7 linked regions of the Rattus norvegicus genome follow. The protein of the gene in region 1 interacts with the protein of each later gene in a pairwise test. Links are inferred from orthologs where the notes say so. Each region holds a gene or a part of one and is shown on either strand. Other genes may lie near its edges. The genes, in order: Ap2b1, Ap1m1, Nup54, Neu4, Itsn1, Ap1m2 and Cltc.

The links.
Region 2: the proteins of Ap2b1 (region 1) and Ap1m1 interact in binary tests that used the Homo sapiens proteins (3 or more experiments, as listed by UniProt). The link is inferred for Rattus norvegicus from reciprocal best matches to the Homo sapiens genes AP2B1 and AP1M1.
Region 3: the proteins of Ap2b1 (region 1) and Nup54 interact in binary tests that used the Homo sapiens proteins (3 or more experiments, as listed by UniProt). The two-hybrid records come from large-scale screens. The link is inferred for Rattus norvegicus from reciprocal best matches to the Homo sapiens genes AP2B1 and NUP54.
Region 4: the proteins of Ap2b1 (region 1) and Neu4 interact in binary tests that used the Homo sapiens proteins (3 or more experiments, as listed by UniProt). The two-hybrid records come from large-scale screens. The link is inferred for Rattus norvegicus from reciprocal best matches to the Homo sapiens genes AP2B1 and NEU4.
Region 5: the proteins of Ap2b1 (region 1) and Itsn1 interact in binary tests that used the Homo sapiens proteins (3 or more experiments, as listed by UniProt). The link is inferred for Rattus norvegicus from reciprocal best matches to the Homo sapiens genes AP2B1 and ITSN1.
Region 6: the proteins of Ap2b1 (region 1) and Ap1m2 interact in binary tests that used the Homo sapiens proteins (3 or more experiments, as listed by UniProt). The two-hybrid records come from large-scale screens. The link is inferred for Rattus norvegicus from reciprocal best matches to the Homo sapiens genes AP2B1 and AP1M2.
Region 7: the proteins of Ap2b1 (region 1) and Cltc interact in a two-hybrid assay, tested with the Homo sapiens proteins (2 studies listed by BioGRID, with this or other methods). The link is inferred for Rattus norvegicus from reciprocal best matches to the Homo sapiens genes AP2B1 and CLTC.

The regions. Positions count from the first base shown.
Region 1 is NC_086028.1:68,694,643-68,698,623, reverse strand, and holds part of Ap2b1 (AP-2 complex subunit beta), read right to left. Parts: intron 2,751-3,981; coding exon 2,596-2,750; intron 1-2,595. UniProt on the Homo sapiens protein: Component of the adaptor protein complex 2 (AP-2). Adaptor protein complexes function in protein transport via transport vesicles in different membrane traffic pathways.
Region 2 is NC_086034.1:17,629,556-17,633,536, reverse strand, and holds part of Ap1m1 (AP-1 complex subunit mu-1), read left to right. Parts: intron 1-2,165; coding exon 2,166-2,322; intron 2,323-3,981. UniProt on the Homo sapiens protein: Subunit of clathrin-associated adaptor protein complex 1 that plays a role in protein sorting in the trans-Golgi network (TGN) and endosomes.
Region 3 is NC_086032.1:15,900,562-15,905,086, forward strand, and holds the start of Nup54 (nuclear pore complex protein Nup54), read left to right. Parts: upstream 1-1,472; 5' UTR 1,473-1,538; coding exon 1,539-1,605; intron 1,606-2,200; coding exon of another isoform or gene 2,201-2,362; intron 2,363-4,525. UniProt on the Homo sapiens protein: Component of the nuclear pore complex, a complex required for the trafficking across the nuclear membrane.
Region 4 is NC_086027.1:101,847,171-101,850,808, reverse strand, and holds the end of Neu4 (sialidase-4), read right to left. Parts: intron 2,808-3,638; coding exon 1,828-2,807; 3' UTR 892-1,827; downstream 1-891. UniProt on the Homo sapiens protein: Exo-alpha-sialidase that catalyzes the hydrolytic cleavage of the terminal sialic acid (N-acetylneuraminic acid, Neu5Ac) of a glycan moiety in the catabolism of glycolipids, glycoproteins and oligosacharides.
Region 5 is NC_086029.1:44,628,317-44,632,297, forward strand, and holds part of Itsn1 (intersectin-1), read left to right. Parts: intron 1-1,829; coding exon 1,830-1,997; intron 1,998-3,981. UniProt on the Homo sapiens protein: Adapter protein that provides a link between the endocytic membrane traffic and the actin assembly machinery. Acts as a guanine nucleotide exchange factor (GEF) for CDC42, and thereby stimulates actin nucleation mediated by WASL and the ARP2/3 complex.
Region 6 is NC_086026.1:28,115,415-28,119,395, reverse strand, and holds part of Ap1m2 (AP-1 complex subunit mu-2), read left to right. Parts: intron 1-628; coding exon 629-787; intron 788-1,967; coding exon 1,968-2,093; intron 2,094-3,629; coding exon 3,630-3,705; intron 3,706-3,981. UniProt on the Homo sapiens protein: Subunit of clathrin-associated adaptor protein complex 1 that plays a role in protein sorting in the trans-Golgi network (TGN) and endosomes.
Region 7 is NC_086028.1:72,029,013-72,032,993, reverse strand, and holds part of Cltc (clathrin heavy chain 1), read left to right. Parts: intron 1-529; coding exon 530-672; intron 673-936; coding exon 937-1,171; intron 1,172-3,270; coding exon 3,271-3,393; intron 3,394-3,981. UniProt on the Homo sapiens protein: Clathrin is the major protein of the polyhedral coat of coated pits and vesicles. Two different adapter protein complexes link the clathrin lattice either to the plasma membrane or to the trans-Golgi network.

The sequences.
Region 1 (3,981 bases):
CCTCTAGGGCTTTAAAGTGTGCTCACATTCATTTGACCCCATGTGATCATTAAATGGAGTTGATTCCTTTTCGGCTTCTTTCCTAGGTATAAGATGTAGCTCTTGGCACAGGGATGCTTTGACAGAAAAGAGGCTTTGGGTAAGGCTGCTTGTGGTGGTTTAAATGAAAATGGCCCCCTAGGCTCACAGGGAGCAGCATGCTTGGAGGTAGAGCCTTGCTGCAGTAGGTGTGGCCTTGTTGGAGGAAGTGTGCCACGGGGGGCTGGGCAGGGGTTGAGGTGTCTCTTTAAGATTTGCTGTGGTCACAGTGTCTCCTCACAGTAATAGAACATCAACTAAGACACAGTGAGCACACATACATATGAACATATACGCACATCTCACACAGACACGTGAGAAAGAGACTATGTGATGACTTATTTTCTGTAACATTCTCAAAATGATATAATCGTCGTGGAGAACCAATGAGTGCTTGCCAGGGCTGGGTCCACATTCCAACACCTAGGAGGCAGAGGCAGCTCAATCTGAGTTTGAGACCAGCCTGGATTATATAATGAATTCCAGGCCATGGGCTACCTGGTAAAACCCTGCCTCAAAAACAAACAAACAAACAAACAAACAAACAAACAAACAAACACCCGACTCCAGCAAAACAAAAAACAAAACCAAAAAAACCACCCCAAACCAAGCCATAAATGATCCCTCGCACACAGAAAAACAGGTCATTCTGCCCCTCCCTAAGAGAGTATGTAATGTACAGTCTCATTCATGTCCACAGCTACATTAGTTATTTTCTAGTCTTGAAAGTAGATGTGTAAGACATTAACATTATGAAAAACTGGGTTAAAAGAAAAGTCCCACTAAAAGTCTTGTGAGTACTTCCAAAATAAAATATTTGTATAGTTTATCTAAGAGAATGAACAGTCCATCTCAAACAATGTGCATCAGGACCCATCAACAACATCTGAACCTTAAATATCACTTGCCTATTAACCTCCCCTCCCCCCAAATTCTACATGAGTTTGAACAATGTCATTAATCATTTTTCCCCACTTTTAATACTAGGGGTTGAACCTGTGGTGTGGCCTAGCTGACAGGAGTTCTGCCATTGAGTGACATTCCCCAGCCCAAGTTTTAGTTTTTCTTTGAGACTGAATCTCTGAGTTGCCTACTCTGGCCTTAAACTTTCGATCTTTCTGCCTAAGCCTCCCACATAGTTGGAATCACAGATCTGTCACTAGGGTCTAGTCTCATTCATCATCCTTTAAAAAAAAAAAAGAAATTGCATTTATTTCATTTATTTGTGTATGTGCCACAGTACTTGTGGTGGTTAGAGGACAGTTGGAGGGGGCATTCTCTCCTTTATCAGTTTATCAGGCTTGGTAACTTTGTCTACTGTGCCATCCCACTGGCCTCTCTCAATCTTTTTAACCACAATCCCTTGGTCTAGGACATTCCTCAGAACTAGTCATTATTGAATCTTCTTCCCCTGCCAATTCTTTCTAAACAGTCTAACATGAGAGTAAGGTATTTCCTCATCTCAAGGCTTCTTGGGAGATCACACTTTATATCAGCACCAGAGCTTAGGGCCTCGAGGACCAGTGTTCACTGCCGAGCAAAGTGGTAGTTTCTCCTGGGCAAAGCCATCCAGTAACTTTTACTTCTGCTCAATGGTATTCTAGAGGAGGTTTCTTTCTTTCTTCTTTTTCTTTTTCTTTTTTTTCGGAGCTGGGGACCAAACCCAGGGCCTTGCGCTTGCTAGGCAAGTGCTCTACCACTGAGCTAAATTCCCAACCCCCTGGAGGAGGTTTCTTAAGCTACAGGAGAAACCTATAGGCTGGAGACTTCTCTCCCTGTTAAGGAAACCATGGTTAAGAATGACTAATTAGTTACATGTTCAAATCTAGGTCTAGACATCCTAAGGCCAAGAACTCTGAAAGTAGACAAGGTCCAATGTAAGCAAGCTAGGAGATGGCTTTTGTTTTGTTTTTTTGTGGAGTGCACTGGGCCCTCTGCTCTATCCTTTCTATCCCAACATGTTGGGACGGCTCTCTCACTGAACTGGTAAGGCTGGCTGTTCAGCAAGCACCCTTACCATCTCTCTCCAGCCTCAGAACACAGGGGTTTTGTTTGTTTGTTTGTTTTTGGCTTTTTTTAAGGCAGGGTCTCACGAAGAAGTCCTGGCTAGCTTCACATTTATAGCGATCCACCTTTCTTTTTCTAGAATTGCAGGTGTGACCTGGTGCCCAGCTAGAGACATTCCTCTAACGGCCTATTCTCGCACCACACTGATGCCGAGCAGGAGGTATCTCTAGGTGTCAGAGAAGTGATGGGTTTGCAGAACTCCTTACAGTCAGAGGCAGAAGGTCTACCCTGGTCTGCCCCAGCACCATGCCTAATAAGTCAGAAGACCACAGTGAGAAGAGGAGGCACTTCATGAATGCGACTTGGACTCCCTGACAGAGTGCATGCTTGTTTTGGGGTTTCTCAGGTGGGAAGTACTTCCTCAGGTCTCTGCAGCACACTACGGAATAAATGTACAGGTTCTTACCTCTGTACTCTAACCCCTCTCACACACTCTGGCAAAGGCCTTACCGTATAATTGGGGTTTCCTGGCTGGATCCGCAGCTCTGCCAAAATCCAAATGCCATTAGTGAGCTTCAGGGACTGGTACAGCATGTCCTGCCCCTCCACATTCCTCTTGGCGATAGTGTAAACATTGTTGTTTTGCAACTTGCTGGAAACTGTGTCTAGAAATAGAGATCCAAGACTTTCAGTTTAAGTCTCCAGTGAACACATTCCCTTCTCTGCCATTCTTGTAAGCTGGCACATATCCTTGAGTTCCCTGATGAATTCTAGCATACACAGATGTCCAGAGGTTCTTCTGATACAGAGAGGCAAAATGAAGGGCCTGCCTGTTGTGTTATCAGACAGAAAACAGTAAGGTGAACTAACACTGGTTTAAGAGCTACCTGGGGAGGTTATATAACAGATAAGTTAAGCCTCAGGGTTTACTAAGAACAAACTAAGTTCTCGTGTTAATTACTTTCCCCACTGCTTTAACATCGTTCTCTGGCCAAAGGGATGTAAGGGAGGGTTATTTTGGCTCACGGTCCCAGGGTACAGCCCATCATGGTGGGAGTCACAGCAGCAGGAGTGAGGGGCAGCTGTTCAACACTGCATCTAGTCAGCCCAAGACAAATGCTAGTGTTAACGTGTTTCGCCTTGTACCTTCAGGTCAGGACTCCACCTCAAGGCAGGAAGCCACTCAGAGTTAAGGTGGGTCTTCCCACTTCAAGGAATGAATCCAGGAAATCCCACACAGGGACACCCAGAGGTTAATCTAGTTTAGATAGCCTCACAGGTGTGTTAGAGCCCTGCCTTCTAGGTTCTAGACTTTATCAAACTGACAATAGTAAGCATCACAATGGTAGACAGGTACAAATACTCTGATGGGAATAGAGAGATGGGTGTATGGGTGTGTGGAATCTCCATACCGACTCTAGTGTTGATGTCCATTTCTGGGATACTGCTCCCCAACCAGGAGAGCTATACTGAGGATCAGATGTACACTTCCCAGGTCACTACTACTGCACTGTGAGCCATGTGGGCCTCAGTTTCACAGCTTTAGAAAAGGACAGAGCTGCACAAGTCTTTTCAAGTCAGATTTATTAAACTGGATATTTAATTTCTTTTTAAAGCAGGCAAACGAATTCTTTAGATGCTAGAGAAAACGATATTTTCAAACATACAAGGAAACAAAGTGCTTTAATGAAAGACACAGAGGCCCAAAGCTGTGTGAAATGACTGCTGCTATGTCCTCAAATCCCAGCTGCCATGTGAGTGATGCTGCTGCACTCCCCAGCTTAGGGGAGGATCAGGCTGCTGTTCTTGTGACTACAGCATTGAAGAGACATGAAGCTTTAGAATGAATTAACAGTCATTTCTCTACCTGAGATGGTGCAGTGTCAGAGACAGATA
Region 2 (3,981 bases), on another chromosome or scaffold:
CTCACCCACAGCTTCCTCATGGCCCCTTCCTGCAGCCATTTCCTCAGGGTAATTCCAAGGAGCAATTCCTGTTTGGTTCCTTTCACTATGCACAGTGACTCTGAGGGTAGAGCCTACCTGGGCGTCCTCATGTCCTGCAGCTCAGAGTCCCATGTCCTGCGTTCACATTCTTATCTGCCCTCAGCTGACCACGAATGGTTTTGTGTTTTTTTTTTGTTTTTTTTTTTTTTTTTTTACTAAGTGTGTGGGGAGGCGAGAGGGATACGGGTATGTGCGAACGTGTGCAGGCGTCCCTGGAGGCCAGAAGTAAACATCAGATCCCCTACAGCTAGAGTTACGAGCACTTGTGAGCTACCCAATGTGGAAGCTGGGAACTGAACCTGGGTCCTCTGAAAGAATAGCAGTGCATGGGGTTGGGGATTTAGCTCAGTGGTAGAGCATTTGCCTAGCAAGCCAAGGCCCTGGGTTCGGTCCCCAGCTCTGGAAAAAAAAGAATAGCAGTGCACTTAAGTAACGAGCCATTTCCCAACTCCTGGGATTTATTTATTTGCTTATTTGGTTTTATATACATACATAGTGTGTATCTGTATATGTATGCATATATGTGTGTGTGTGTGTGTGTGTGTGTATGCACATACACACACATAATTTTTATTTTATGGTTGTTAGTATTTGACTGCATGTGTGAGGGTGTCAGAAGCCCTGGAACTGGAGTCGTGGATAGGCGTGCACTTCTATGTGATTCTGGGGATTCTGCAAGAGCAGCCAGTGTTCTTCATTGCTAAGCCATCTCTCCACCTCCTGTTTGTTTTTTGAGACAGGTTTCTCTGTGTAGCCCTGGCTGTCCTGGAACTTGATCTGTAGACCAGGCTGGCCTCAAACTCAGGGATCCACCAGCCTCTGCCTCCTGGGTGCTGCGATTAAAGGCCTGCACTGTCATTCCCAGCAAACCTAGGATTTTTTAAAAAGACAGGGTCTCACTGTGTTCAGTCTGAAACTTACTATGTAAACTTCCTTACCTCTGCTTCCAAGTGCTAGGATTAGAGGTGTCATACCATGCTTGACAAAGTATTTTTAGCAGGGAAACAGTTTGCTATATAAGTGTGAAGAACTGAGTACAGATTCCTAGGACCCACATAATACCAGGAGGGTATGGCAGCCCGTGATCCCAGGAGCCTGCTGGCTAGCTAGATCATCTGAGGTGGCAGCACAAAGAGAGAGGGGTCGGGGAGAGGGAAAGGTGTTGCATTTGAACTGGGTTTGGTATCTCATGCCTATAACCTAACCACTCTGGAGGCAGAAGGACTGCCGTGAGTTTGAGGCTAGCCTGGGCTACATAGTGAAATCATCACGACAAAGCAAAAGCCTCAGGAATGTTTTTTGTCAGAGCAGGCTGTCCTTAGATACCACAGCACTGTATTGGAGGGCCCTCAGATTCTGGAATCCTGGGGTCCTGGAACAGCCAGATTCTCCATACATCTGTTGCAAGACAAGTCCTTTTGTCTCTGGTGTGGCTCTATTTAAGATTCAGCCACTGGGGTGTTCATTTATGTGGACTGGCTCATACCTGTCATCCCAGCACTCAGGAGGTAGCAGCAGGAGAAACAGGAATTCAAGGCTATCCTTGGCTACATAGTGGATTTGAGATGTGCCGAGGCTCCTTGAACCCACTCCCGGCTTCATTCTCCGTTGAGTGCCCATGGACACACAGCTTCTCTGATTCTCTAGGATGAGCCACTGGGTCATACTTAACTCTGGTGTCACTTTCTGAGGAGCCACCAACTTTGGCTATTTCACAGGATGATGGACAGTGGTTCAGACACCATGCAAGGAGGAAGACCAGGGCAGGGCTATTCCTGTACAGGCTTCAGTGGGATCCCATGAACTTGGACTCCTCTGGGATCAGGTGCTCAGGAGAGCCAAGTGTGCCAGCACAGCAAAGACACTGAGAGGGTCTGCATGGAGTGCTCATAGGGCAAGGCTTGGCCCAGTGTCTGAGGGGATCAGTCCCTCCTTTCTCCACCTTCTGCTGAAGGAAGAGCCTTGTGGTGGGACTTCATAGGGTGAAAATCAGACTAGCCTCAAGTTGTGTCCCTTCACAGATGGTCCCCACCCCTACCTCAGACCCTCAGAGGAAGCCACCCCTTCTTTCCTTCCTAATGCAGGTGCTCATCTGCAGGAACTACCGTGGGGATGTGGACATGTCAGAGGTGGAGCACTTCATGCCCATTCTGATGGAGAAGGAGGAGGAGGGCATGCTGTCACCTATCTTGGCCCATGGTGGCGTTCGTTTCATGTGGATTAAGCACAACAACCTGTACCGTATCCCTATGCTGTGGAGTCAGGCCTTGGGGATGACACGCCTGCCCACCAGCACAGAAGAGCTGGGCAGCCAGAGGACACAGGCCTCACACAGAGGACACAGGGAATGCTAAGTATTCCAGAAGCTGCAGCTGTGGGAGGAGGGGAGAGACACAGGGCAAGAGTGGGAGCCAACTGGGCCTGAAGTTGTCCTCTGGAGATGTGTCATGTTAAATGGGGTAGGTCTTTGGATGGGGTGGACTGGCTATAGGTGGCCTTGTGGTCTAGAGATTTCTGGCTGCTGTGTATGGCCACACTGTCAGGAGCAGGAGTGGACAAATGAGGGGAACAGGGTAGGAGTAGGGGTGGGAAGATCTCATGTGCCCTACATCCTCAGCCCTGCTTCAGCCTCAAATCAAGTGTGATGCCAGGTGGAGACCCACCGTGGCTGCACCCACCACTTTGGGCTTTGAGCAGACCTCTGGAGATCTGGCTGTGCAGGAGCTCTTCAGCTGCCAGTCCCCTCGTCAGTAAATGTGTGCATGCGTGTAACCCCTACAGGCACAGATGCCACCTCTTCCCAGGGACATGGTCTTCCCTTGCAGTTCCTGCCCTGCTCTCCCTCCCAGGCATAGGGTTTTTTCCCTGATGTATATTAGCATTTGTGAACTCCCTTGTAGAGTGGGCCTAAAGTCCAATAGAAAGGTGTTGGTGTCACCCATGATATCTGTGCCAGTAGTGCACATGTGGTGTTTGAGCACACTGGGTCCATAGCTGAGCAGGAGTGTTGATAACTGTTCATCAACAGCCCTCACAGCCCTTTCTGGCACTAGGAAAGCCAACCAGCAGGGTGGGAGTTTCCATTTGGTTCCAACTTAATTTCCCCATGTTCTGCAGTCCAAGTGCAGTGTCTTCAACAATAGGCTCTTACCATCCGGTTCTGCTGTACAACAGCAGCAGCGGCCTGCATGGCTCATGGAGCTTCAGGGTGTCCTGCAGCACCTCCCAGGAGATAGTCTGCCCATGGCACAGGGACTTCACCCAATAACCTGATGACCTCCGCGAGTGTCCTTCTCCATCCATGTAGGGTACCAGTTGGATTTAAACTCTTTACCTGTTTAAACAACATTTTGTTTTTTACTTTTTAAAGGCATCATTTGTAGACATATTTTACCTGCATGTTTGCAGGCCAGAAGAAGGCATTGGATCCCCTGGAACTAGAGTTAAAGCCAGTGATGAGCCACCATGTGGGTGCTGGGGATTGAACTTGGGTCTTCTGGAAGAGCAACCTATGCTCTTTACCACTGAGCCATCTCTGTAGCCCTCCACTTTTCCTTTCAATTATTCAAGCCTCAGCTGGGCTGTAAGGTAGGTAGAAGTGCCATTACACCTGGTCGTCTTCATGTTAGTGAAGTGACTGCTATCACTATTATCTCCATGGATGTCCACACATAACGCCTAGCTGGCTGAGACCTTGGTGGTGGCTTCCCCTGCTGCTCACTTGCATGAAATGCTTGTAGCTGTGCTGTGTTTGCACTGGTGAGAGAGAGTTTCTCATGTCTTTCTGATGTCGTACTAAATCTACAGATTGATTTTATGTATGTGTCCATTTGTTCAGGCCATAATTAGTGTTAGGAGAACACGCAAAACTGCAGACTGCGTCACAGCAGAGCCAGCAGC
Region 3 (4,525 bases), on another chromosome or scaffold:
TCAGGAGTCCCCTGGGGCTTGCTGGCTGGCTAGTCTTGCCAAATTGATGAGCTCTAGATTTAGTGAGAGACCTTGTATTGAAAAATAAGAGTAAACTAGGAGGGCACCCATGTCAATCTCTGGCCTCCAGGCCCATGTGCACATACATGCATGTGTGCCCTCTCATGTGCCCGCGCTCTCTCTCTCTCTCTCTCTCTCTCTCTCTCTCACACACACACACACACACACACACACACACACACACACACACAAGCACAAAGGATCCTGAGAAAACTAACACCATATCTACCACATGACCCAGCTAGGTCTATAAGGACTCCAAGTTAGCCTATCACAGAGACAGATGTACATCAATGTCTACTGAAGCACCAGTCACCAACACCAGCAAACCTAGCTGCCTAGCAACAGAGGGATGGATCAGAAAAGGTGGTATATATACTCAAAAGAATTTTCAACCCTAAGAATCAAGTTATGTCATTTGCACAGAATGAATATGACTGGGGATAAGTGAATTAAGCCAGTCACAGAAGGAAAAAACTTTTCATTTATGACTCCTAGGTTTAATTAAATACATAAACTCATATATATGGCATGGTAAATGAAATAAAACTGCTAGGGAACTAATGGGAGGGAGGGGGAGAAGAAAGAAAATTTAGGAATGGGGATATATGTTCAAAATACAACATATACTTGTATCAAAATGTTCTAATGTAACACAGTGCCATGTACAATAAATATTTTTAAAATAATTTGGGCGAAGTAGAGAAAAACCTTGTGTGAAGGTAGACTCCAGGATGTACCAGCGAAATGACTTTGGGGATGGCTGCTTAGCAACTCTCTTGTCTGTCCAAATTAGTCAAGGACAGAATCTTCTCTGTGGGATTGAGTGTTAAATGTTCCCCAGAAGTGGGATACAGGGTACAGATTTTACCAGTGAGAGGGCTCCTTTGCTTCATTCGGTTCAGCCACCCCCTCGCCCCTTTCTCGTTCAATAAGAATAGTGGTAAACTGAAACACAGCTGGGGATTAAGAGAATTATGCAAAAACGATTACTAGAGTGCATGCCACATAGTTAACACACGTGTTACCACCACTGCCATTATCTTTCCATCACTCTTGAATGCCTCTTTCCCAACTGCTTCATCTACTCAAACCTCATTTCCTCCGGGAAGGACCGCTCCTCAGTGGTAAGGGCAGCAGCACCTTCACGCGGTCTCCGCACCCTGTCACTTCTCTAAAGTGGCATCAGAGAGCCGGCAGACAACACCCCACGTCCAACTTGCCCTCATCTCCCCTTTCCTGTGACGTCCCACACCACGTGAAGCCACAACACACCCCCGGAAATGATCGGGTGGAGGCGTTCCCGTTCTACCCTCCACCCACTCCATCATCGCTTGGTTCCTCCCTCCTCCGCTTAGGCCAGGAAGGAGGCGGAACTAAAGGTACGGGCCCGACGTTTCCCAGCCGGAGGAAAGAGCGGAGAGCACTGGGCGTCGCGCCACCGGAGCCGGGGACCACTTAAGTGCTGCTCCCGCGACATGGCATTCAATTTTGGGGCTCCTTCGGGCACTTCGGGCACCTCTACAGCCACCGCGGCACCGGCGGGTGAGTCAGCCCTGGTCCTACCTTCTTCCTCCAAGGAACCGAAGCCTAGGGCCCGCCCCCTCGATCCGATCGGTCCGGCTGGGGGTCCCGGGGTTGCCCGGGCACTCCCGACACCTTGGGGACATTTGGAAAGGGCGGGCGGCGACGGCGGTGGTGGGTGGGTCTCAGGCTGCTCAGGCTCGGCCTGGGGATCACATGGCACGCTTATCCCGCGTGGCCCGGCCGCCGCGTTGCTTCCCGCCATTGGGGTGTTCGCCCGAGAGAGGCCGGAGGCTACGCCCCTCTCCCTTCCCGGGACCCCGTGTCCCCTCGTCCGCCTCTCCTCCCTGCCCAGACGGGTAAGGCTGCCCGCAGTTCCCTCTGTCCCCTCCCCAACCCGGGGGGGGGGGGTGCTGGACCCCGGCCCCTGGTGTCCTTCACTCCTTCTGTCTGTCCCCACCTCGACTTTCTTCCCCTGATCCGGTGCAGGTCAGGTTTGCTCACTCTGTGAAGCCTCTTGCTGATTCTTGTAATTCTTATCTTGCTTTCTTTTCCTTTTCTCTTCCCCTCCTCTCACCTTTTCAATTTTTTGTTTCTCTGCCTCCACGACTATCAGGATTTGGTGGGCTTGAGACTGCCAACTCCACCGCCAGTGGGTTTAATTTTGGGGGTTTCGGATTAACCGCTAACCCTGCAGTGAACTTTAATATTGGGAATTTCGGTGTTTCTACCACCTCGGCGACTCCGTTCAATTTTGGTAACAGTCTGGCGAGTGCAGGTAGATACTGCGGGTCATGTGTGTAATGAGTATGGGGGCTGGAGTCCAAGAATGTTCCGTTGTTTCTAGAGTTTGGGGGAATAAATGGCACGTGTCTAATAAGGAAGATCGAATCAAGTATATTTCAAGTTTTGACTGCCTTAAAAGATGTGGTTTTTGGAAACACTTAGAATACTTCTTTGTTGGATTTGCATTTAATCATACAGAGTGCAGCTTCAAAATGATAACTTTGGGATGGAATGCATTTGGAACGGAATGCCTTTTGAATCATTAGCTCTAGCATAAGGTCAGCGTTTCCCCGGGATTCTTGGACTCCTGCAGTCATTTTTCATTTTTTATACATATTTCATCGGGATTTCATCTTATTGTCCTTGTGTTTCCAAGAGAAACAAGTCTTATACGAACAGCAGTGACCTGTCTTGTTTTTCTAACATCAACTCAACACATTCGAATGTAGTCCTCAAGATACATAATTGTAGAAAGAATTGTGGATTCTTTGCTGGATTTTTGGGAAATTCTCCATGGTAGTTTAATTTACCAGATGACATTGAGTTCAAAAAAGTAAGGTTGACATCTTTACATTCAAAAAGAAGATGATGAAGTTTTTTTTTATTTTAATCTGTGGGTTGTTTGATGATCACTAAATTTTTTCAGAACATAAATATAGTGGATGTGTATATCCCAATTTAAGTTAGGCTTATGTGAGCTCAACATATGACCCTTAGAAAAATCTTGATCCTCAGCTGCTCGTATATGAATTTATCGTCCATAGTTTATGTTCCGTTAAGCCACTCCTGCCCTTGCCAATTATATGCATTTGGTTAACATTACCTCTAAACTTACTTGGAAAGTCAGGTATTTTTGTCCATTCACTTGGTTTTGCATTGTTTATGTCACTTTATCCTTTCAGTTGGAAATAATGTGGAAAATACTTGGTAATTCCAAAGATAAAGTGACTCACTGAGAAATATTGGAAGTGTTACATATCACCACCCCGTGTTTACATTTCCTAGTTTGCTTAAAATTGGCACTGGGCAAAACAAACCTTATTTTGAAATTCATGTTTTCAGAATAAAGCAAACCATATAGCTTAACAGCAACAAATAAACTTGTTTGTATTTGCTTGATTTCATGTCCATTTGAAGTTGTCACTGTTATTTTTCAGTTGTACAAATATAAGTGTGTTTCCATTGTTTTCAAATAGGTTAATTAACTTAGCCTTCAGGAAAGAGCTTTAAAAATTACATTTTTGTATCCATACAGATCTAATATTACTAATAGAGTATTTTTTTTTTTTTGGTTCTTTTTTTTCGGAGCTGGGGACCAAACCCAGGGCCTTACGCTTCCTAGGCAAGCGCTCTACCACTGAGCTAAATCCCCAACCCCCTAATAGAGTATTTTTGATCACTTGAAACATGATAAGATAGTGACTAGCATTTTTATTGTGTAGCCAACTTGAATAACATAGTTATTCTAAAGCAGGAAGTTAAAAGGGCTCCAAAGGCAGTAGTTATTTTAGATGTTTCATAAATGTTTAGCTGGCAATATTCAGTAGAGTCTATAAGTTACATGTGTGCAATTGCCTATTCAATAATTTTTAAAATCTGAATTGTATTGTTTAAGAGTTCAAGAGTACAGGATAGTGATGGACCACTTGCCTGCCTCGAGTGTGCAAGGTCCTGGATTTAAAACAGCACCACATTGATTAAAACTAATTTAAATTCTTCTCTCTAGAATGGCATCTCAGGGAAAAAGTTGTATTCCTCCTGATTTAGTATCTCTCTTTACGGGATTGCAAGCATATAGTACCATACCCATCTTCATTGCAATCTTGAAGAGGCTCTCTTATTACAAGAAATAGATGAGGTTCAGGTTAGAATCTCAGAAAGCCTGGAGTGGAACTCAGCACTTCGGGTTCAGATGTGTGCTGTGAGAGTCTTTGATAGCATATCTGTACCCAGGTAACTGCTGCCGATACTTTGTTTTAAATTAGTTTGGCATGTCATTCTAGTCATATATTTTAGATACTCTGAGACCGATTGTTTATAGATTTAATTAAAAATAGAACCTGTCAGCTTGCCTCAGTGTGATGCAGGCCCATGGTAGCCAAGGCTACCTGCTTTGCCATTCCTCTCGTTTTTTTCCCTTCCTTCAGAAAGACGT
Region 4 (3,638 bases), on another chromosome or scaffold:
GAGAGAGAGAGAGAGAGAGAGAGAGAGAGAAATCTCACCATGTCATATCTTCAACTACCTCACAATCTACCATCAAGAAGACCATCAGCAGACACAACTACTCAACGATGACCCCCAAGAAGTGGGAACCAATATCAACCTCCTTCCATTAAAGTTCACCTAGTCTATGGCACATGGCTACTAACAGTGAAGGCAGACTGAAAGACCCTGCCCTAAGTCTATTCACTTCCTCCTTCCCTACCCTTCAGGGCCACAGTCACAGGGACTCTCCCACAGAGTCCTTAGTGGCTCACCAGAGCTTGAGGACCTCGGAGTTCAGGGGCCACTGGAGTTCAGGCAACCCAGGGAGGAGACCTGATCCTGACCTTCATGCTATGCTCTGCTGAGGCAGGTAAGTCAGTAGCTTCTGATGGTCTTAGATGGTTTTAAGCCCCAGTTAGTGGGTACAAAGCTCTACTACCTGGAGATAATGGGACCCACCTCAAAACAGTACCCAGCCCAAGGCTTGGTCAAGGAACACAGTGGTTTATTGTGGACAATACCCAGAGCAGTAAAGATTTTTCTTGCGGGTTTTTTTTTAATGTATGGCTTTCTAAATCTTCTAATTTTCTAAAATGACCATAAACCTGGGTTTTGTTTTGTTTTTAATTTTGTAAGGAAGTGTGCATGCATGGGTGTGTATCCTATATTTTCAGAGGTCAGAGATCAACTCCATACTTTGAGGCAGGGTCTCTCACTGAAACCTGGAATGTGCCAATTAGACCAAGCTGTCTGATCAGAGATCTCTTGGGGGGATTTATTTATCTCTGCCTCTCCATGCTGAGATTACAAGTATGCCACCAAATTGGGCTTTTTATGCGATGCTAAAAACAGAACTCAGATTCCTCTGACTCCATGGCAAATGCTTTACTGATTAAGCCGTCACCCCAGGCCTCCACAGATTGTTTTTATAATCAGAAATTAGGACTCTAATAAGAAATACAAGAGGGCACCAGGCGGTGGTAGCACATGCCTTTAATCACAGCACTTGGGAAGCAGAGGCAGATGGAGCTTTGAGCTCAAGGCCAGCCTGATTTACAGAGTGAGTTCCAGGACAACCAGGGCTACACAAAGAGACCCTGTCTTTTTTTTTTTTTTTTCCCGGAGCTGGGGACCGAACCCAGGGCCTTGCGCTTCCTAGGTAAGCACTCTACCACTGAGCTAAATCCCCAGCCCCCGAGACCCTGTCTTGAAAAGGAAAAAGAAAGAGAACCGAGGGAACAGCTCTGATAGAACAAGAGCCCTCTCCAGAGAAGGGTAAAGAAGTGGACCCACGGAGCAGGTCCTCAGACGTAATCGCTGCTCGAGTCAAACTCTGTCCCCACTGGCTGGGGAGGCTCGCTCCCCAACCTGCTTCTCCTGCAGGAAATCCAGAAAGTAAACAGCCCTCGGTCATCAGCACATATCAAATTGGCTGAGGTTGGCACCCAGAGGGTAGTGGAAAGCGGTGTGGTGATGTCCACTGTCCCAGCACGGTGAGGTCCTCTGCCCTCACCCCTGCCGGGCACCCTTGGGATGTGAAAGCCGAGCAAGGTGCCGGTGGGAGATGTGCGTGGTGATCAGAGCGGTGAGCTAAAGTACCAGCACCCGAGCTTTGATACAGAAAGAAAAGTCACAGCACAACCCCTTTATTTCTCACGGGCACCCAGAAAGCAACTGGCTGCCCGGTGAGTCACCCCCACCAGCCAGTCAGGAGACAGAGCTCTGTTCGTCCTAGGGTCAGGCTGACCTGACCTCCTCTATATAATCTGCCCTTCCTCCCCAAGTGCCTGCCAGAGGACCAGGCCATCAAGAGGGCCAGCAATGCCCCTGAGGCTTATTCCTGAGACTGGATATCTCTAAGCCAGTGGGTACATTCTCCAGGACATCAGCCAGTGAGAACAAGCAAAAAGAAATGTCTTCATAGGAAGCCCTGGTCCCGCTCTCAAACAGGCAGGCAAAAGCCAGGGATGCCCCAGGCACAGGCCCAAGGAAGGCAAGGTCAGAGTAGCCACTGGGGCCTTCATAGATTATCCAGGGCTCTGTCCAGCTGTGAGGGTCCAAGGGGGATCGGCTCAGGTAGATTCCCATATGGAGCCGAGCTCTACGCCCTGCTGGGTGGGAATATAGCAACCATGTGGAGCTCTGACGCACGGAAGCAGAGGACATAGGGAGTTCCGGGCTCCAGGATGTTTTTTCTCCATCTGGCCCAGGCTCTAGGCCATGATTCTCTGGGCCCCGGGACTGTGGGTAGCAGAGAAGCAACCTAGACGCCCAACCTTCAACAAAACCTCTAGCACCTTCCGCCAAAGACTCCCGTACTCTGAGATCGAAGCATGGGGAATGTGGGGTGTTTCCAGGACTCGCTAACCACCGGTCATCCTGAGGACCGATGGAAGGTGGAGCCGGGAAGCCCACAATGCTACCCTGGCAGCCGCGAGCAGTCTCAGCCAACGTAGGCACCAGCTCCCCTGGTAGGAAGGAAGTGCCTTCATCAGCACTCAGTGCCTGCACACGGTTACCCAGAGGGCTCCGGGCATTACAGTAGAGAAAGTCTCCATCCACCGCAGCCAGTTGGCACTCTCCAGAGCGTAGGTTGGGCACAAGGCCTCCGCAATGCCAGGAGATCCCATGGTCATCACTGTAGAAAGCCAAGGAGTGGGGACTGGTCCAGCAGATCCTGCCAAAACACTCCCGACGGTCCACATGATAGGTGTAAGCAGGAACAAGCAGGCGACCCGAGCGCAGCTGGACTCCATGGCCTGGACCCACGGCAAAGGTGGCCCAGTCTACAGAGAGAAGGAAACAGACCCTTGGGTTAGGAGCGCTGACTGCCTCCCTTTACCGGACCCTAAATGCACTCAAACCAGAGGAGTCGTCGAGACGCTCTTCAGAATCCTAAAGGTCCGCTTGGTCGAGTATTTTCTTGGTTTTTAAAAAGACTTCATTGTAACCATGTGCATATGGAAGGCATCCACAGGAGTGCAGGTGCCCATAGAGGCTAGAGGTGACAGATATCCTGGAACTGGAATTATAGGTAATTATGAGCCTACCCAATCCAAGGGCAGGAGAGTGAACTCCGTTTCTCTGCGAGAGCTGTAAATCATACAAGCTCTTAACCTCTGAGAGACCTCTCCAGCCCCTTGGTCAAGTGTTTTGCTTTTTGTCTTGTGATACTAAGCCTGGAAACCAAGCCAAACGAGTCATCTACCACTGAGCCACTCCCCAGCCATTGGCCAGCAGAGGCTTGCTGATCACCAGGGGAGCTCGACGTCTGAAGCAGGTGCTGCCCAACAGCCGTGGAGGGAGGAGGGCCCGGATGAGGGTTTTGGATGAGCTTTTGTGCTGGCTGGTTTGGTGTGTCAAATTGACACAAACTAGAGTCATCAGAGAGGAAGGAGCCTCAGTTGAGAAAATGCTACCAAGAGACCCAGCTATAAGTCATTTTCTCAACTACTGATCAATGGGGGAGGGCCCAGCCCATGATGGGTCGTGCCATCTTTGGACTGGTGATCCTGGGTTCCATAAGAAAGCAGGCTGAGGAAATCATGAAAAGCAAGCCAATAAGCAGCATCCTCCATGGCCTCTGCATCAGCTCCTGCCTCTAGGTTCAAGCCCTG
Region 5 (3,981 bases), on another chromosome or scaffold:
GGAGTCACAGACGGTTGAGTTGGCATGTGAGTGCTGGGAACCCAGAGCTCGTTACCACGGCACACATGTGACAGTCAGAGAACAATTTTAATTTCGGGAGTCCGTTCTCTCCTTCCACCGTGGGTTCCAGAGGGTGAACTCAGTTCTCATGGTGGCACGGCCCATGCTTTTACCCAGCAACTCAGCCATCTCCCTGGCCCCAAACCTAGAGTCATAGCAATCAATATAAAAGAAAAATGTAGTCCAGGACACCTACTCAGTAAGGAAAGCAATTACATGGGCATGGTAGCTGTGAAAACTGTTTTATTTCCCTCGTTGCATGCCCCATCCTGGAAGGATGGCCAGTCCCGCAAACCGCCTGGTAAGGCTGTGCTGTTACATTTAGCTGGGGCAGCTCTGCTCAGGTTAAAAACAACAGAACACTCAGAAAAACATATTCGGGGACTGGGGAGGTGACCTGGCCAGTGAAGTGCATGGGACGTCAGTGTCCGTGTAGAAAGCAGGACGTGGGGGCTGGGGATTTAGCTCAGTGGTAGAGCGCTTACCTAGGAAGCGCAAGGCCCTGGGTTCGGTCCCCAGCTCCGAAAAAAAGAACCAAAAAAAAAAAGGAAAAGAAAAAGAAAAAGAAAGCAGGATGTGGCAGGGTGTGTTCTAGCCCTGGGAGGCAGAGATGGAGGAATTCTAGCTAGCTTCACCTCATTGGTGAGCCCTGGATGCCATCAAAACACTCTGCCTCATAAACAAGGAAGATGGCTCCTGAAAGACGACAGCCGAGGATGTCCTCCAGCCTCCACTCAGGCACACACGCATATACATATGTGTACTCTGTCTTAGGGTTTTACTGCTGTGAACAGACACCAAGACCAATGCAACTCTCATGAGGACATTTAATTGGGGCTGGCTTACAGGTTCAGGAGTTCAGTCCAGTGTCATCAAGGCAGGAACATGGCAGCATCCAGGCAGGCCTGGTGCAGGAGGAGCTGAGAGATCTACATCTTCCTCTGAAGGCTGCTAGTGGAAGACTGACTTCCAGGCAGTGAGGACTAGGGTATTTTAGCCCACACCCACTGTGACACACCTACCTCAACAAGGCCATACCTCCTCATAGTGCCACTCCCTGGGCCAAGCATGTACAAACCAGCACATGTCCCCACACATACACAAAGCACACATATTTGCCCAGGGGAACCTCCTAGTTGATTTCCAGGATGCACAGGTGCCTGTGGCCCTGTACATTCCCTAGGGCACGCGAACACACGGGGTATGGCACCTATCCCACTCCACCCTGGGGTGCCCTGCCTTCTCCTAAACCCTCACTCCAGAGTTAACGGGGTACTGTTCAGTTCCAACACCAGGATTCCCCTGGGTAAGTGAGCCGGGGAAGAGCAGTCGCTGGCTGCCTGCAGGAATGCCTGGCCAGTCCCCTGGTCTCTGGCTGAGTTGCTTGTTCAGTGAAACAGGGTGGAGATTTTGGAGGAGAAGCTGAGCCCCTTCTGCTGCACTGTTCTGCAGCATCCCCAGGTCTGGGATGTTTGTGTGGGTGGTTTAGTGTCCATGCTGGGAGCCAGCATTCTGCAGGACAGGTTACGGAGTTTGTGCTGGGACATTCAGAGGGCTGGGGTTGGGCTGAGGGCCCAAGGGCAGGGCCACTCATTGCAAGCAACAAGTATAGCCCTCACTGAGCCCGAGGCTGCTCCAGTGGCCAGGGCACCCTGTGCCATGGCTATGGTGGGCACCATGCAGGAAAACACTGTGACTTCCATGACCGTGGGTCCAGGTCCATCAACACCGAGAAAAGAGTCCTGACAAAGGTCTTGTCTTCTGTACAGATCCTGGAAAACACTCCTGAAAACCACCCCGACCACAGCCACCTGAAGCACGCCCTGGAGAAAGCAGAAGAGCTGTGCTCCCAAGTGAACGAGGGAGTTCGAGAGAAGGAGAACTCTGACCGGCTGGAGTGGATCCAGGCGCATGTGCAGTGCGAAGGCCTTTCTGAGGTAGCCACCTACCGGGCGGGCGGGCGGGCGGGGCCTGGACCACTCCTGGTTGAACACTGGCAGCCGGTACAGAAGGGATGAGGCAAATCTCTCCCTTTCCTCTCCAGCTAGAACGTATTCTCCTAGCAGCGTGTCTCCTCAGCTCATTAATTATATTAATATCATATAATTTCAATGATATTATTTCCCGCTGCCAAAAAATTATTTTTTCAAACGTCCTGGTTTCTTTTGTGTGTCCTGTTCAAATGTTCATGCTTCTTCCTTCTCTTCTTCTTTTCCTCCTCTTCTTCCTCCTTCTCTTCCTTCTCCTTCTCCTCCTCCTTCTTTCCTTCCTCCTTCTCTTCCTCTTCCTTTTCTTCCTCCTCTTCCTCCTCTTTCTCTTCCTCCTCTTCTTCCTTCTCCTTCTCCTCCTTCTTTTCTTCCTCCTCTTCTTCTTCCTCCTCTTCCTCTTCCTTTTCTTCCTCCTCTTCTTCCTCCTTCTCTTCTTCCTCCTCCTCCTCCTCCTCCTCCTCCTCCTCCTCCTCCTCCTCCTCCTCCTCCTCCTCCTCCTCCTCCTCCTTCTTTTCTTCCTCCTCCTCTACTTCTAACGCACTTTAAACATATTCGCATGTATTCTAACATCGGACAGTCCCAGTACCCGCGGTCGTGGATCCTACTCTTCTGTCTGTTGTTTCTGCTAGCGTTCACACCCTCACCCCTTAGTTTTCTCTGTGTAGAGTGGTCTCCTTTTCTGCAGTAGCCACCAAACCTCTTGCATGTCGGTTGAGCGCTATTCTTCCGAGCCACACCCTCAGCTCCTGGAATATGATTTTTTTTTGTCTCCTCTAGTGTCTTTTGAACGTCCCCCTGTGTGTGTCTTCACTGTTTGAACTTGCATTTTCCCTGAGCAGATTGCTCCCCGGGCCATCCCAAGTTTTATTTAGAGGGAGTTTGAGGGTCACATCGCACGAGCGAATCCCAGCTGTGGTCCTGTGTGAGAGCGGCCTGGTGGGCACAGGGCCCAGGGGGCGCATTCTCGTCCACATAACATAGCTGAAGTCAGCAAAGTGTCCTTGCTTTTCTTTTTCTTCTTTTTTTTTTTCCTTTTCTTTTTTTTTCGGAGCTGGGGACCGAACCCAGGGCCTTGCGCTTGCTTGGCAAGCGCTCTACCGCTGAGCTAAATCCCCAACCCCCTTGCTTTTCTTTCTGGAGAGTCGCCCTGCTGAGTTCATCACCTCAGCCTGGGGTCCCTCTGTCTTTACTCTGCCACACAGTGTGGGGCTCAGTGTCAACAGGTCCAAAGGGCACCGGCTGACGCTGCCTTTGGTGGTTGATCCAGTAACTTCATTTTCATTATGGTTTGAGAATGGGCACATTCTTTTTTTAGTTTATTTTAACCAGCTTGAATTTTAAAAGTGTTTCATATTTTGCTCCTTTTTTTAAAGTTTGTGTTGGTGGATTCTCTGGGCTTCTGACCCACACAGGAGTCTTCGTTGGTATTTTCCTCTTCCTGTCTCTCAGCCTCCACTCTCACTCTTTCTGCCTGTGTTTCCCCTGACCCGAGCACAGAGGTGTACGGATACATCCGTGAACACACAGGCTCGCATGCATGTGTATATACGATTGCTAGAGTTTTCCAAAAACCCCAGGCATAATGTGTTTCTCTCCCCTTTCTTCCCTGTGGTTCCCCCCCTCTTCTAAATTCCAAGAGCACTTCCTGCATGGAGACTGCCTGTGCCCTCCCCTCCCCAGCCCCACCTCCTACCCTCTGCAGTGAGGGTGTGCACAAGCAAAGCTATGAGCAGCCCCTGCGGAAGCTGAGGTGGCAGCTGTGGCTTCTCTGTTTGGAACCAGGCACAACCTTTACTTGACTGGCTCATTCATTCACACACGATCATTTGTTATCTGCTCATGTGTCATTGTTCAACACCGAACCCCAAGTACATTTTAAAGAGAAATAGCGATTGGGACCCCACCTCCCCCTCCACACACACACTCAGGGTCT
Region 6 (3,981 bases), on another chromosome or scaffold:
GGAGGCACATGGCATGGAGGTAAGAGGACAACTTACAGGAGTTGCTTCTCTCTACAGTGTGGGTCCTCAAACTCAGAAGCACTTTGACCTGCTGAGCCATCTCACCAGGCCCTTTTATTTTTTTTTAATTTTTTATTTATTTGTTATACATAAATACACTGTAGTTGTCTTCAGATCCCATTACAGATGGTTATGAGGCACCACGTGGTTGCTGGGATTTGAACTCAGGACCTCTGGAAGAGCAGTCAGTGTTTTTTTTTGTTTTGTTTTGTTTTTTTGTTTTTTTGTTTTTTTGTTTTTTTGTTTTGTTTTGTTTTTTTCTTTTTATTTTTTAGAACTGGGGACTGAACCCAGGGCCTTGTGCTTGCTAGGCAAGCGCTCTACCACTGAGCTAAATCCCCAACCTTCTGCCACCAGGCTTGATTCCCATTTTTTTTTTTTTTTTAATTTTCGTATTTTCAAAAAGGATCCCACTTAGTTGTCTAGGTGTCCTTGAACGCAGTCTCTCTAGTTCAGGTTGGCCTTGAACTTGAGATCCTCCTACTTCGACCTCCAGAGTAGCTGGGATCACAAACATCCACCTCTTGCTCAGAGTGAATTCTTTTTGCCTCCTGCTCTCTCCTGGCAGGCCAAGGGTCAGTTTAAGAAGCAGTCGGTGGCCAACGGCGTGGAAATCTCTGTGCCTGTACCTAGCGATGCAGATTCTCCACGCTTCAAGACCAGTGTGGGCAGTGCCAAGTATGTGCCTGAGAAGAATGTCGTCATTTGGAGCATCAAGTCTTTCCCTGTGAGTACTGGGAGAGGTGGGGCCCAGGGTGGGAGGATTTCGGTGGTGCTGGTGGGGCTTGCCTAGGCCACATGACAGAAGGAGAAGAACGTCCCAAGTACCTCATCTTAGAGGAGGATGCATGAGGATTACACGGATGCACATGGCTGTCCTTGAGAGCCGAGGAAGGGGAAACCCAGGCTATCTGGCTCCAGATTGGTACACTGTATGTGGTGGCCCATGTCTGTCTTTCTCCCATTTGGGAGGTGGAGGCAGGAGGATAAAGAATTCAGACTTACCCTTACCTTGATGACTACTTCTAATCTAACCTAGCTGCATAAGACCCTGCTTGAAAAATCCAAACCTGGGCTGGAGAGATGGCTCAGAGGTTAAGAGCACTGACTGTTCTTCCAGAGGTCCTGAGTTCAATTCCCAGCAACCACATGGTGGCTCACAACCATCCCTATTGAGATCCGATGCCCTCTTCTGGCCTGCAGGCATACATGCAGGCAGAAAGCTGTATGTTGTACACATAATAAATAAATATTTAAAAAAAGAAAAATCCAAACCAAACCAGTCAAAGGTGGGGAAACTGAGGCCTTGTGAAACAGCACCTCCCTTCCCCCACAAGTCCTTCAGGGATATGTATGGCCTTGGTGCCTAGTTTCTCTTTCATAAACTCAGCTCATCTGTAAAATGGGTTGGATGACATTTGACCCACATTATTTTTTGTTGGTGTTGGTTTTTAGACAGGGTGTCACTATGCAGTCATGGCTGGACTGGAACTTGCTATATAGACTGGGCTGGTCTTGAACTCATAGAAATCTACTTGCCTCAGCCTCCCAAGTACTGGGATTAAAGATTGTGTGTGTGTGTGTGTGTGTGTGTGTGTGTGTGTGTGTGTGTGTGTGACAAATATGACCCACGTTCTTGGAACACTAGTGGCTTTATTTTATAGTTACTCTGTGTGTGTATGTGTGTTTTTGTCTGTCTGTCTGTCTGTCTGTCTGTCTCTCTCCTCCAGACTGAGGAACAACAGTTAGCACCCTTCCCTTGCTTGTACTAGCACAGACTTTTCCTATGGGTCTCAGCCAGCACTCTTGTGTTTGGAGTCTGTGCAATGGACAGGTACAACTGCTGTGAGGGTTGTCTGAGATATGGAATGACTCTGAGAGAGTCTGATGCCTCTGTGTGTCCACAGGGGGGCAAGGAGTACTTGATGCGTGCCCATTTTGGCCTCCCCAGCGTGGAAACTGAGGAGGTAGAGGGCCGGCCACCCATCGGTGTCAAGTTTGAGATTCCATACTTTACTGTTTCCGGCATCCAGGTGAGGAACAAGGGTGGGGAGGTATCCTCCTTTCCTCCCTCCTGGCTTTAGTCACCTCCCAAGTCACGTCTCATTTATTCATTTCAGCATTTATTTATTTTGTGTATCAGTGTTTTGCATACGTCTGTGTACCACGTGGTTCCAGGTTTCCATCTGCTGTATGGATGCTGGTACTTTAATCCAGGTCCTCTGGAAGAGCAGCCAGAGCTCTTAACTGCTGAGCCATCTCTCCAGCCCTGTGTTAGGGTTTCTAAGGATTGCCGTGACAAGACACTGTAACCAAAAAGCAAGTTGGGAGGAAAGGATTTATTTAGCTCACACATCATTGGAGGAAGTCAGGACAGGAACTCAAAGCAGGCCAGGAACCTGGAGGCAGGAGCTGATGCAGAGTCCATGGAGAGGTGCTGCTTACTGCTTGTGTTTCATGGCTTGCGCAGGCTGCTTTCTTATATAACCCAGGACCAGCAGCCCACAGATGGCACCACCCACCACGGCCTGGGCCCTCCTTCATTGATCACTAATTGAGAAGATGCCTTACAGCTGGATCTCATGGAGGCATTTCCTCAACTGAGGCTCCTCCCTCTCCGATGACTAGCTTGTGTCAAGTTGACACACAAAATCAACCAGTCCAATCCCCCTTTTTAGTTGTGTTGTTTTTGAGACAGGAACTCACTGTAGCCAGGCTAACCAGGAACTTGCTGTGTAGACCAGACGGCATTGTGCCATAGAGACCTGTCCTGAGATCTGAGGTGTGCACCACCGCATCAGGCATTTTTTTTTTTTTTTTTTTTTTTTTTTTTTGTAATCCAAGCTAGCCAAGGACTTACTCTGAAGTCCAGACTAGACTCAACTCAATATCCAACCCAGACTGGACTTGAAGCTATGACATCCTTTTGTCTAGATTTCCAAGCAGTGGTATGAAGTCATGTGTCCCCATGCTCAGTTCTCTATTTCTTCTTTGTCGTTGGCCTGGGAATGCTGCCTCTTCTGTTCTCAGGCTGGCACTTTGCCCTCTCCCCACTCACATCTACATGTGCCACCGTCCCTGCCACTGCCCCTGCTTTCCCTGCTCTCAGAGAGAGTATCCTTTGTTTTCTTGACCTTCTCCCCAACCCTCTTCTGTATTCTCCAGTCTGCTCCTTCCCCTATGGGCCTGGATCACTTCTTCACCCATATTGAGCTCAGACTCCCAGTTAGCATCATCCTAAAGCATGCCCTATATATTTTCTTTTTTTTCGGAGCTGGGGACCAAACCCAGGGCCTTGCGCTTGCTAGGCAAGTGTTCTACCACTGAGCTAAATCCCCAACCCCTATCTTTTCTTGACATAAGCCACCACTTTTCCTTCTGACTCTGTTCAACTCATCCTCCCAATACCTTCCCCCACAAATACTGGAGATTGAACCCAGGGACTGACACATGCTAGGCAGGGGCTCTACCTCTGAGTCTACCCCAAGTACTCACAGGGGACTCTAGAAGGGAGTTTCCTGCTAAGACACATCCCTCTTCCTTGGCTGATCCTCTTTATGATCTTCCAGGTCCGTTACATGAAGATCATCGAGAAAAGCGGGTACCAGGCCCTGCCCTGGGTCCGCTACATCACCCAGAGTGGTGGTAAGGTGTTGGGGCTCTCTGGGACAGTGGGGGTGAGGAGGTAGGGGGTGTAGGGACTTTCATGCCGTGTTGGGGCAGTTCTAAATTGTAGCATGGCTAGCACCAAACCTGTCCTCACCATGCTTCCACATATTTAAAATGGAGTGGTCGGCCCGCTGCAGCAAAATGTTATACTTAGCACGTTCAGATGCTGCCTGGGTGCGGGCATGCTTACCAGGTGGAGGAGTCCGTGTGGCACCCATCCTGATCTAAGCAAAACTTTCTTTTGTGTATGTG
Region 7 (3,981 bases), about 3.3 Mb from region 1:
AATGGCCTGCTAGAGTACTTTCCATGTTTTCCCAGCTCAGTCTTTTCTTTGATTAAAATTTAACATCCATGCTAGAATATTAAGTGCGAGAACTACTGTAGTCTAAAGGGTTGCAAAGTTGAGGAATCGAAGCCCAGAGCACATGTCTTAAGTTAGGTATTAGAACCTTTTATCAACTTCAAGATACTCTCGTAAGGCAGTGCTGCCGGTGTTGAGACTTTTTACTTAGTAATCGTCACAGTCATCTCTGCTGTTGTTATTGTATACTTCAACATTTGGAGCAGTTCTTAGGAGGAACTGATCAACCAAAGCAACATGAGAGACTAGGGTGAGCGCTTGCCTGCCTGTTAGTAGACTATGAGGTCTTTCTAGGTAGACTTTTCCTTCATCTAACCATAATTTTGGATTCATAGTTTACTACTAATTTTAAAAACAGGGCTTTAACAGAAGAAATGGTCTTTATGTTTTTGCCTCAGTTTTGCTTATTCATGTAACGGTGTTCTTTTTATTTTCTCTTTTTCCAACATAGGTAAATCCAAGTCGACTTCCTGTGGTTATTGGAGGATTGCTGGATGTTGACTGCTCTGAAGATGTCATTAAAAATTTGATTCTTGTTGTGAGAGGTCAATTCTCTACTGATGAGCTTGTTGCTGAAGTTGAGAAAAGAAACAGGTGTGGTACTGTTTCCTCTCCTATAGCACATAAGTTTGTGGCTTCTGATAGTGCAGGAAGAGTTGAAGTACAGCTGACTGACTGCGGCCACTCAACACATGGGGTAAATTTATGGAGGCAGCTAACAGAAGGGTGACACGCTCGCTTTTAGAGTTGAAAGGTTTTTGTTAGTGTATTTTCCTGAAATGTGACTATATCTCTATAGTTATGAGAAGATTGTGCTGTTTTTAACACAGTCTGTCTGGGTTCTGTTGTTTTTACTAGATTGAAGCTGCTTCTTCCTTGGCTTGAGGCTAGAATTCATGAGGGCTGTGAGGAGCCTGCTACACACAATGCGTTAGCCAAAATATACATCGACAGCAATAACAACCCAGAGAGATTCCTTCGTGAAAACCCCTACTATGACAGTCGTGTCGTGGGAAAGTACTGTGAGAAGAGAGACCCACATCTGGCCTGTGTTGCTTATGAACGTGGCCAGTGTGATCTGGAACTAATCAACGTAAGTACTGCTTGCTGAGTGGGACAGAGACGTCTGTATTTCTTTTAACTAGTTGTTTGAGTTTCTATACGGTTTTTAGTTAATACAGAACAGTTTTGGACAGATGGGTGCTATTTTAAAACTGTGTTTGGAGATAGTAGTAAACGCAAGTCTGTACACTCACTCTCTGCTGATTTGGCCTGTATCAGCTCTGCTTGTGTTCTTGTACACGCTCAAGCGTACCTTAACATAGCATTTCAGCCACAGTACATTCCTCACGGGTTTGTATCCATCGGGTTCTACTTTCTAGGAATGAAGACGTATCTTTATATAGATACCAGCAACAGTCAGTCAGAGGGTAACAAGAAACTCTGAAAGGTTTGGTTTCAGTGTTGTCAGGGTTTTCTGTAGTTTACCATCACCATTGTGTCCACTCTTCAGCCTCTTTATTCTAAATCAGTCCTTGGAAACTTGTTTGTTTTTAAATGATAGATACGTTTGCTAAAACTCATTTTGAAATTTGTATTTAGTTAGGTTTTTTGTTGTTGTTGCTGTGAAATAAGTGCATAATCAAATTTTCCATTGTAAAGTGAACATCTCAGTGGCTTTTAGTGAGTTGAGTGTTGCAAATCAACACTCTTTCCCACTTTCCAGGCTCTCAGCACTGAGAAAGGAGAGCTTCTTTTTAGTAAATCTTCATGTACTCCCTTCTCATAGAACCTCACAGCTGCCAAACCACACCCAACTCCTGTGGATTTCCCTGTTCTGTATTTTTTTTTTTAATTAAAGTATTTATTACTTGTGCACAAGTATGTAGAAGTCAGAACAACTAGTGGGAATCTTTTATCTCCTCAATGTATGTGGGTCTCATGAACCACTCTGGTCATCAGCCTTGGTGGCAAGCTACCTATTAAGCCATATTGCTGACCCCTGTACATTTCATATAAATGTATGGCCTCTGGTTCTTCCTCCTGCAGTGCTGAATGCCTGGCCGCAGAAAAACATTTCTGAGTTTCCCTGAATCATTTCTTTGCTTTGCAGCTAAAATCAAGTATTTCAATAATGGTTCTCTATAATTAGATTTTTAGATCATACATCTCTACTTGGAATACTGCTTAAATAATGTTTGCTCTGTGCTGCCATTTTCTTTCTTTATGTTGCCAGTCTCCACTGAATTGTCCACTTCCCATTCGGGAGTACTTTGGTAAAGAAATGAGCACACTCACCCACAGGTCCTTTCTCCTTGTCCCTGCTTACTAGGCCTTTGTAACCTAAGACATTGTTACTAGGTTGATGACTACTGTAGCCCTTTCTCCTGTTTACCAGTTACAGGTTAGAGTTACTGGGCCTGCATGAATGAGGCCCTGATTACAATCACAGCACTGAAAAAAAGTTCTGTCATATTTATTCGTCAGTATTCTCGGATTTATGGACTCCTGTTGTACTCTGAATTACAGTCCATTACTGTAATTTCTGTTAGCATTCACATTGTTGCCTGGTTGTTGATGAACTTCAAGGTTCATTGTGCAACTTTCCCAGATTAGAGTTGCCCATTTTTCCAGGCAGCCCCTACCCTTTTTAATGAAAGATGCCGTTAGTAACTGAGTTCTGCCCTGAAGATTGCTTCTAGCGTTGTTCTGTGGTCAGATCTTAGAAACTTATCTGTGTTTGTATGTGCTTTCAAAGATGATACATATTTATATGCAGGTGTATGGAAAAGTGTTCAGTATCTAATGAAACACTGGAAGAAAGTTTTGAAGGCAACCAGACCTGTATTAGAGTGTAATACAAAGCTATGATTTAAAGTTAATACAATACTAGTGCTTGAACATCAAAAATAAGCTAAATATGCGAGTGTGTGTCTGTAATTCTAGCATGTGAGAAGTAGAGGAGGATAAAGAAATTTGAAGCTCAAGCAAAGAAGAAAACCAGGTGCTATACTAGGAGTCTTCTAAAAAGCTCCTAAAATTTCTTTTTTCTTTTCATTGTTGAATTCTAATGGGAATATTTGACTGTGATATTCCCTAGATTTTTTTTTTTAAAGAGTTGACATGATTGCAAATAACTGTCAGACTCGTTTTCTGTAATTGCGCTGAAATTAACCTGGCTGTTTTAATTAGGTTTGCAATGAGAATTCCCTCTTCAAAAGTCTTTCTCGCTACCTGGTCCGTCGAAAGGATCCAGAGTTGTGGGGTAGTGTGCTACTGGAAAGCAATCCATACAGAAGACCATTAATTGACCAGGTAAATGTGACAAAAATGTTTCACTTCTTTCTGACCTGGAATACTTTCCTCTCATTACATATCCAAATATATTCAAATGGGTCATATTTAACTATAACAGAAGACACAAAAAGTAAAAAAAACATTAAAATTGTACTATATAAATGTAAAATTGTTTGTGTGTGTGTGTGTGTGTGTGTGTGTGTGTGTGTGTGTGTGTGTAAAATATTATAAGGAAAGTGAAATCTAAAACCATAAATTTATATTAAGTTCATCACCATTAAAGAAAGGGAATAAATTAGGATTGACTCCAAATCGTTAGCTGATACATGACTGAAATTAAGACATTGAAAGCAGTAAGTCAGCACACAAAGAGGATTGATAATTCAAAAACCAAAAATCCAAGTAATGTTTGGGTCTAACAGCTTAAAGTCCCTAGTACTTAGGAGTTTGAGAGAGAAAGAAAGAGTATGAGTTTGAGTTAATTAACATCATCCTGTGAGTGTAGCAAGATTCTATCTCCAATTCTTTTCTAAATTCCAAGTATCATGAAGATTATTGGTAAGTGTGACCCAGTTTCTGGTTACTAGCATCGCCTACAAGCAGGGC